Linked DNA regions of Yarrowia lipolytica. The protein of the gene in region 2 interacts with the protein of the main gene of each other region in a pairwise test. Links are inferred from orthologs where the notes say so. Each region holds a gene or a part of one and is shown on either strand. Other genes may lie near its edges.

Region 1 (3,171 bases), on a different chromosome or scaffold from region 2:
GGAGCTCGGCAAGGTGAAGGAGGTTGTCGGAGGGCTTTGAGAGAGACCATACAATTGCGCTATCCGTTTTGACAGCATTAGCTGGAGCTGACGCGTGTCTACAAGACATAATAGGAAACTTGCTTGGAAGCATGCGACTCCTGGCATACGGATACGACTGCTAAGCCTACTGCTGACTACTCATCTTGGGTGAACTACAGAAACTGGAGTACAATACCGTATGTACACTCTTGTGATAGAGTACCCAGCTCCAACTCTTCAACGCATCCGACACGAGCTAACTGCTACTTACCCCGATCTGCTACAAGTACATTGATCACTGAACGAGCGCCATATCCGCTGACTCAAGCCATGGGTAAGGCTAGGCAACCATCGGCCCTCTCGTCATCTGTACTGCTGCCATAGACCCACTGGGATGAGAGATATCGTTGTTTTATCCCAATTGACATAATTTATTTCATTATTTATTCAAGGATTTAGTCTACAATTGTGTAGATCTGAGGCAGTCCTATGACTATGGCCCAGGCTCAGAATCACCAAGCTTGTGCAGTATACAATCTATTACTATTCATAACGCTTACTCCTCCTTAACACCTCCGGCACCGGCAGTCTCGGCGGCAGAAATGGTCTTCTTGTCGGTCTTGATGTCGCCACCGCCCATACCGGCTCCACCAAACATGGAGGCGGCCTTGAAGGGTCGCTTGAGATCGCCAATGGCGGGCTTGCCAAAGACGTGGATCTGGACAATGTTCTGCTCAATGGCGGACTTGATGGGCATGATGGACTGCAACAGAAGAGGGTTAGTGTACTTCATGTAGATGTGCATGAAACCCATCATGGCGATACCGGTGAAGACACCTCGGATGGCAGAGTTAACCTGCTTGATATCGTACTCCTTGATGGTGGTGGTCACGAGCTTGGGCTCCTCCTGGCCGCCGAAAGCGTTGGCAGGCTCGACGTATTTGAGGGTGGTGAGATCTGGGTTAGTACTGAAAGACGGTGAAGGCTGGGTGTAACTTGCGCAGATCACAGCAGTGAAAAAGATGACATGGACATTAGCTGTGACATATGCTGTGACATATGTGCCCTGTCTGTGAACTCTCTCTATGGACAGTGGCGCTGATCTGTTGACCAAACCACGTAGTAGCGTCCTTCGGGTCACGGAACACGACCACCGTCGGTTCTACTCTCATACTCACCATTCTTCTTGGTAATGATGGACCGGGTGTAAAGGTACAGGCCCAGGACCAGCAACTGGGCCACCACGTAGAGAATTCGGATGCCCATCAGCACCTGGGGGTCCTCAAAGGGCACCTTCTTGGACACCTGCATCATGACAAGCATGATGACGAGGTTGGAAATAGCAGGGTTGACCATTTTTGCGGTTTTTTGGGGGGAGCGTTGGCTGTGTGGGTTTTTTTTAGTGGTGGCGTATGACGACAAGGAAGATCGTGGGTTTGGGGTTATGGGGGTTTTACAATACGTTGCAAGTAATAAAGTTTGCCGTGGGAAATTTCACCACCGCCAAACTGGGTCGAACGGCACACGTTATCGGAGCCATAACAATATGGAAGGTTCCAGCAGCATAGATTTGGGCGGAATAAAAAATAAACATTAAATATAAAATGAAATTAAAAAAATAAAAAAATAAAAAATTGAGAAATTGGGCGCGGAAATTCGGGAAAATCCGGGGAAATCCGGGGAAATCCGGAAAAATTGCGGCCAGAATCGTTTCTTGGAGGTGAAATTTTCGCAGATATTTGGACATGTTATAAAATAACTTTCCATCTTGGTCTCCTCACCCCAGACCTTCGGTCTACCACTCGTATTGCACGTATGTACAGTAGTGTAAATTCGGGTTGTTTGGTTGTTTAGTTCTGTCTACCTGTATGTAATATGAAGTCACGTCACGTGGCTGTGTGTACTCGGCGTTAGTTGGATTCGGGCAGATGGGGGTTCCTGTTTTGTTTATGGATTTTGCGCCGTTTTTCCCGAAAAAATAATGAAAAAATAAAAATATTTGCTCGTGATTTTCTGGCTCTTATCAGTATGGCTGGCTCGCTTCTTTTTATGGGACTGCAGGGTGTGCATGGTGGCAGTAAATTCACCTGAAATTGCAGAAAGTGAAGAAAAAAAATTGAAAAAATTGAAAAAATTGAAAAAATTGAAAAAAGACTTAGAAAAACACATGAAAGGATCCTAGGATGCCGTACAGTACCACCATTGTAGAAATATAAAATCAGTTCAGTTCCCACAGTGTCCTGTCGAGATTCCCTGTCTGATACCGTGAAACGGAAAAGTTGTCTGCAGTGAGTTAAGTACGTAGATGCAATACAAATGCCCACTCTCAATATCAGTAATAAAGACTTAAGTATACAATGCAAACCCTTGTTCAGGGATATAATTAGCTGTTCATGGGCTGAACGGGACTGAAGGACTCGTGCCGACTCATGCCGTCTCATGCCGTCTCGTGCTGTCTCATGCGCTGTTCAACATGCCCAAAATGACTGCATCAGACGAATTACAGCCCTAACTGTAGTGGATCGAAACAGCCACTGGTAAGGCAACAATAGTTGCAATAATGGTCACTACCTTGGTGGCCCACCATAGATGCTGGACGACAAAGGGACACAGAGAGTAGTCAAAGTCGTACTTGCCCTCTGTATCGTTCCAGCTGCCTGTCAGCAGGCCTGTGTTGCCGCCAAACTCGCCCATCATGCTTCGAACGGTATATTCTGACACGGCATTGCCTCTTCCACCCTCAACTGTCCAGTTTCCGTGTCCAGGATCAAAGCTGTAACTGGAAACACAACCCTCGTGATCGTGGCCAGCCAAGATAACGCCTCGAGGATCTTCCCTGCCGAAGATACCGTCAAGAAGTCGGTTGGTAGCATCCTCAGAAAGATGGTTCTGAGACCGCAGCCACTTGTACTCGTTATCATAGTACTTAAACATGGGTCCGTCGGCACAAATGCCTGCCGGCTTGTAAAGAGGCACGTGGGTCATGAGAATGGTCGACACGTCGGGCTCCTGTTCTCGAGCCTGTCTCACCATATCCACAAACATCCAGCAATCGTTTTGGAACTGCTGTTCGTAAACGGGACCGTCTAGAGCCAGATTATTGAGCACCACGACACGATACCCTTTTCTGGGCACATAATAGTTGACTCT
Region 2 (2,747 bases):
TCAGCGTAGATGGTGACGGATCCCTCGGGGAGTCGGAATCGCTTCTGGACCAGAGACATGAGCTCTCGGATTCGTCGGCCGTTCTCACCAAGGACCTTGTTGGTGTGGGTGGCTCGGACAACAATCTCAGTCTTGGTGGGGGTGAGTCGGACCTCGACGCCGGAGTATCCCTCCTCGGCGAGCTCTCGGGTGAAGAACTCGTTGAGCTCGGCGTAGAAAACACCGTCGGCGACGATCTTTCGCTTCTTGGAAATGGTGACAGTGGAGGACATTGCTGTTGTGTGTGTGGATGGATTCGCGCAGAATGGGATATTTTGCCTGCTGGGAGGTGAGTCGTGAAAATTCTGAACCTTGTTTTGCCAGTTAGGGCTAAACCCTGTCACGTGTTGAGTCTTTATTGGGAGGTTTGGACGCTTATGTAATGTGCGATTTAGAGATGTGCGGTAATGGTGAGCTTGTGTTTGGCTGTATTGGGAAATTTTGGTTGTTTTTGGGCTGTATTGATCCAGAAAGTGCTCAAAAATAATAATAAAATAAATAAATAAATAAAAACCGTCAGGTTTGTATGGTAAAATGGGTATTCGAGATCTAAGACAAGGTAAGTAAAGTAAAGTAAAATTGTAAGGAAAGTCACCCTAGTCTAAATTGTGCGATCTTACAAAAATATAAATATAATAAAAATAAAATAAAAATAAAAATAAAAAAAAAAAAAAAAAAATAAAAACGAAAACACATAAAAAAACAATATTAAAAACCCCTCAGGTGGAGCGGAGCTACCAGTACAGGTACTCGCATTCTCACTCGCACTCTCTCACTCGATCATTACCAAATAGCCTCCGCCAACTGCATCGTCTGTGTATTACAATTCACGGGAATTAGTTGGGAGTTTTGTTGAAAATGAGGAAGAAAGGGGGACTTTGTAGGGCGCTGGAAGACGCTGGAGGACGCTAGAGGACGCTAGAGGACGCTAGAAATGATTAAATTAGACACAAATCACCAATATAACCATTCTATTGCCTTTATCGTCCACCATCACCATGACACCCACATGACGCCGTTTGCAACTCCCCTTGAGGCCGTGTGCAACTCTCCGAAGATAGGAACAACTCGCGACAACTCGCATCAACTCGCATCAAGACGGCCCCGGGATGATGGCAAAAGTAAGCCCAAAACTCGGTTACGTAATCAAGTATAGCCCCACAAGCGCCGTTAGCAAAAAAATTAACCTCCCCCAACCCCCAGACACAGATCTAACCCCAGAATGTTGTTGAGTTGTCCAGCCCTGCCATAAGTTGGGAGGGACCTGAGACAGGCCTGAGACAGTTGTGAAAACGAGTGATATTGAAGGGGCCCCGAATGGAGGCTAAAAATCGCAAAAAATCACGAAAAAATGACCGAAAAAATGACCCGCTTAGGTAATTTGAGGTCTGGATTTTTATAGCCCTTTGTCCCACCATTCTCATTTCCCATATTCCGGTGTCCCAGTTCACCCCCCCCCCCCATTACCCCCCCCCTCTAATCTTCCTGTCATAAGGTTCAGTCAAGTTTAACAAACGCTGACACCATCACTACAGACGTGTTTGCACCTCTGACCAGACACATTTATCGCCACCATGCCGACATCTGCATCCTCCATTTCGTCCGCGCTGATTCTGTGCGCCACGTCCTTCTCTCTGGGCGTTCTGTACTCCAACTGGCCCTATGATTTCTTCACTCTGTGGACGGCCGCTCCGCCGGAGTCTCGATACACCGCCTCTCTGGACCACTACAAGGCGTGGTACGACTGCCCCATGTTTGTGTACCACATCCACCACACGGTGATCGGACTGGGGCTGATTGGCTTCTTCATCAAGCTGTACAAGCCCAGCGAGTCCAACAAGCTGTTTGACGGCGGCTCGCTGTTTCTGTACATGGTTGGCGTCACCATCTACCTGACCAACATCCGACGGGGCCTGGCGTCGGCCGTGGACGGCAACTGGGGCGACGTGGACGAACACACGGGAATCAACGTCATTGCCGCCTCCCAGGTCATGATTGTCTTTGTGCTTCTCGGCGTGCTGGGGCTCCAGGTGGGCCAGTGGTGGGCCGAGCGAGAGGACGCCAAGCTCAAAAAGAAGTTTGACGACGAGGAAAAGAAGGAAAAGAAGGACAAGAAGGAGTCCAAGGAGTCCAAGAAGACCAAGTAGGCCTACCGGTAGTGGATAGTACAGGGCTCTGTGCGTAAAAGTGAGGTATGTACGTGAACGTGTTGTGTATTAGGACTGTGTCCGTAGTTGAATACAAGAGTAGGTAGTACCAGTACAGCGCCGTCGTACGGATCTCGTTGTATTGTCTTTCACGCTGGTATGGCTGTAGTTGTTCTGCAAGTGTTCATACTGCGATCTAGTTCATCGTTGGAGCACATCTCCCGGTTGTCGATACTTCAACCACTACTGCTACAAGAGAGCTATCTACAACCCAGCTTGTCCTGACTGACTGCTTCAACTGATTGTACTTGAATTGAACATGTTCCAACTACTTGTGCTCCGTCACTGTGGTATAAGACAAGTTGGAAGACTTGAGCTCAGCCTCTCATAAGAGCCTCCAAGTGGCTCCAGAAACACTTTGATAGAAGGAGACCAGAAGAATCAACTTTTTTGATTAAGAGTTTCACCCATTGTCGCTGGTATCATCCTCTTGGAGTGTTGTACTACATCTATGTCGCTCTTGGTGAATACTACAAGTAGGTGACTTCTGGACCGAATCAA
Region 3 (3,523 bases), about 180 kb from region 2:
GATGTGGTAGAAGGAACACTGGTGAAGAGACTGTTCCGAACAAGAAGCCGAACTCCTGTCACTACAAGTAGCTACAAGTAGCTATTGTACCTGCAGAGTGCCAAGTCAGCATTCCAATTTGTTTTTAATTTGCTTTCGTCCTACATCTATCTTGATCTACTGTTTAGCTGGTCTGGGCTTCTCTTCCGTGGATCTTGACCAGGCTAATGTCTGTCTAGCTACATGTGGTAGAAATACATACTGTAGTTCAGTTATGGAACCCTTTTTGGTTCTTAGAATGTTCAAATGGTGGCAAGCAATGACACTACGACGGGCCAATTGCGACGCCAACGTCCTCGACGCCTGAAACTTGACACTATCGGAAGAATGCATCTCGGGTGTCCTAATTTGAGACTGTATACTTGTTGTAGTTCCATCTGTGACAGTAGCCATATAATCCGTGCCCTTCTTTCCATCATCTCTAAATGTCATTACAGTCTATTTTTATGTCGTATGCTCAGTTAGTCCGTTGCTCGTGCTCCCTCTTCACTCCTCAAATGTCTGCCATCGGTACCAGTTATAAGCAATGATGGCCAGCAGCGAGATCACCAGGCCAATAGTGTTGACCACAGACATGGTGTCGTCGTAGATCAGTGCACTGGCCACAATCGTGAGAATCTCCTTGAAGATGCCTCCAATAGAGAGTGTGATGACAGAGGTCTCCTGCAGCAGCGCGTACTCGGCCACAGTAAGGAAAAATGCAAAAAGTCCCGGGATGACCATGAGGAAAATCCCCCAAAGAAGGCCCTGGTCGGCCCAGAAATGGGATGTGACGAACGTCACAGGACCCTCCACAATCAGAGCAAACACGAACAGACACAGAGCCATCATGGGAGCCACGTTCTGAATCGTGGAAAAGGGGTTTGTAGTCGCAGGGCATCGTGTAAGAAGCAGCTGAGTCAGAGCCCATCTGAGACCTGACAGAACTGCTGCTCCTAAGACAAGCAGGAAGCCGATCAGATGGAACTTAGTCTCTCCGGCAACCATCATGACCACACCGATCATCAGCACCATTACCACGCTGATGAGCTTGACGTTGGGCTTTTCGATTCGGAACATGAAACCAAAGATCATGACCCAGCCCAGAGACGACGATTTGACCATGGTGTAGAAGGACACGGTGATATATTTTAGCGAGATGTTGCCCATTCCAATGTCTCCTCCCGTGGCCAGACCACAGGGGCCCATCTTGTATATGTACTCCCGCCACGTCAGAGGCACGTAGACCTCTCCCTTCTCTGTTGCCATCACACGGGGGTTGAAGCGTCGGGGGAACGCTGTAATGACTGCAGTAGCAAACGCAGTTTGTACCAGTTGGTGGATACCTGTGGCGAACAGCGGGAACCGAAAGTCCAGCTTTGTTGGATCAAACATCCACTTGTTGTATAACGTCAGGGAGAGAGAAAACGTGTACCAGCAAAGCAGGTAGGCTGTGCATTTGAGGGCGTGTTTGATCCACTTGTTTTTCTTGATGACGGCGGACTCTTTGTTCTCGGAGTCGCTCATCATCTCCATCTGGTGAAAGTCGTCTCCAATGGGATCGTCTTCCAGTAGAGCGTCGAGATCGGAGTCACTGTCGTTGTTGCCGCCGTGTCCATTGTGCCGCCGTTGCGAGTCTTCGCTGGTGGTCCGGCGCAGCATGCCGTCATCGCGCCCAGCCGGCGAGTCCAGCTGTTGGTACTGGCCCATATGTGTGTTTTGGTGTCAAGGGGGTTGAGATGTATCACGTGCGTTACGCGTGTCGTGAGGGGGTGCGATTAGATTTATCAGCGGGTTGGTGGAAGTCACGTGATCGGAATGGGTGTCGATTGGGTACCTCTGCTCTGTGTTGCCGCTACACTTGTTTTCCGCGCTCCTATGTCTCTGTTGGGGGTATAATTTTAGTGGCCGTGGTAGAGAACTGAACCACAACCACACACACCGGTGGACCAGCGCCTTTAGAGTTCGTTGCTGTTGAAGTGAGCCAGGTGGGACAAATACTGTAATTAAGCGTGTCGTTAAAGGGGTTTGATTGGGAGAGGATTACAAGTAGGCACTGTTATAATTATGTCCTTCTGGGCGAGCAGATGATGGCGTCGTGACATAGATAGTGTAGCGGTCGTATAAGTGGTCTCTACCGGGTCACAACTAGTGAGTATGTTCACATTCAAGTATTTGTACTCTTACTGTTTTGAAACCCACTTTACACACTCATCTTTCAACCACCTTTCCCCATACATACACAGTCAAAATAGGCATTGTAAGAGACGCACCTCGGCAGCAACCACAGCAATGCCACACGACCATACAAGTGGACCATAATAAATACAAGTGCAAACACAAGTACAAGCACACCGATAGACGCGGTCCACAGGACCTCAGAACCACCACATGCTGTCGAAACTGACTAAGCGCGATATACCCTAACCCCAACACATAATTTACTGTACGAGTACCGGTACAACTTGTACTTGCCTCCACACGTGCCTATCAACCAGCATCCATTTCCCTGCTGACGTAATAAGACGGCCCAACGTACAACATGGTGTAAATACGAAATACGACACACGGGACAGGTGAAGTAGGCCCAATATCATACGACTAATCGTAACCAACTCGCAGCATCACGAACACGTCGATGTTACTCTCAACGTCAACCCTAGGCTCGAAAAACCCTAGCTATAAATATTTCTCCGCCAAAGTTTGTATGCAATGCCATGCATTGAACCGAGTGAGGAGTTGAGAGGAGTTGGGGTGACAAGAGTTCCAAAATGTCGTAGGGTGGGCCATAGATGTATATGCTCGTTCATGGTGCGATACGGAGCAACCAAACAAGCCACGCCACGCCCAAAACAATGTTGATTAGACCCTTTAGCTCCACTATTGCACCGGTACTCGCATACTAATATAGATAAACTTTGAAGATGTCACAATAGTGCTATGGGTATGTACGGAAAGGTCCAGACGTCGCTCGCTCGACGGACTTAAGACAGAACAAAACAACACAGCTACTTGTGCACACGGCAGGAGCAATGAAACTCTCCAGCACACTACTCGCGTGCCTGGGGACGCTTGGAGCTACCCAGAGAGCTTTTCCAGTGTCCCATGGACCCACAGAACAGGAGCTCATGCCCTACTCATGGGATGATGTCTATGACTTTATGAGTGCGGACTTCCAGGACCAGTTTCACATTCAGTACGCTGATGGATCGATACGAGGCAAGAGGATCGACAAATACTTGCCCGATGACGCAATCCACCTGCGCAAACGACTGGTTAGTGACGAGGACTCAGCCAAAGTCAGTGGAGGACAGTTGTACTTGGATCTCATGATCGGCTGGTCCAAAGGTCATGGTGTGGGTGGCGACGACAAGCGGTACAAACTGTCTGTCAACCTGTGGAACAACGTGACGATCCTATACGACTACGAAGACATTCCTACGTGTCCCGAACGAGACAGAAACCTGTGTGACCAGGTGACAGACCCACAGTGTGTGTTCGCAGA

The links.
Region 1: the proteins of YALI1_E28046g (region 2) and YALI1_B05995g interact in binary tests that used the Saccharomyces cerevisiae proteins (3 or more experiments, as listed by UniProt). The link is inferred for Yarrowia lipolytica from reciprocal best matches to the Saccharomyces cerevisiae genes SHR3 and SND3.
Region 3: the proteins of YALI1_E28046g (region 2) and YALI1_E29827g interact in a protein complementation assay, tested with the Saccharomyces cerevisiae proteins (2 studies listed by BioGRID). The link is inferred for Yarrowia lipolytica from reciprocal best matches to the Saccharomyces cerevisiae genes SHR3 and YMD8.

What each region holds. Positions count from the first base shown.
Region 1 is NC_090771.1:597,766-600,936, reverse strand, and holds YALI1_B05995g (uncharacterized protein), read right to left. Parts: upstream 1,378-3,171; coding exon 1,200-1,377; intron 979-1,199; coding exon 578-978; downstream 1-577. Other genes in the region: YALI1_B06015g (uncharacterized protein), read left to right, coding at 1-40; YALI1_B05984g (uncharacterized protein), read right to left, coding at 1,932-2,462; YALI1_B05971g (uncharacterized protein), read right to left, coding at 2,530-3,171. UniProt on the Saccharomyces cerevisiae protein: Functions in the SND pathway, a SRP (signal recognition particle) and GET (guided entry of tail-anchored proteins) independent pathway for targeting a broad range of substrate proteins to the endoplasmic reticulum.
Region 2 is NC_090774.1:2,803,019-2,805,765, forward strand, and holds YALI1_E28046g (uncharacterized protein), read left to right. Parts: upstream 1-1,613; coding exon 1,614-2,186; downstream 2,187-2,747. Other genes in the region: YALI1_E28033g (40S ribosomal protein uS3), read right to left, coding at 1-272; YALI1_E28052g (uncharacterized protein), read left to right, coding at 2,234-2,285, 2,563-2,726.
Region 3 is NC_090774.1:2,980,986-2,984,508, forward strand, and holds YALI1_E29827g (uncharacterized protein), read right to left. Parts: upstream 1,729-3,523; coding exon 526-1,728; downstream 1-525. Other genes in the region: YALI1_E29840g (uncharacterized protein), read left to right, coding at 3,051-3,523.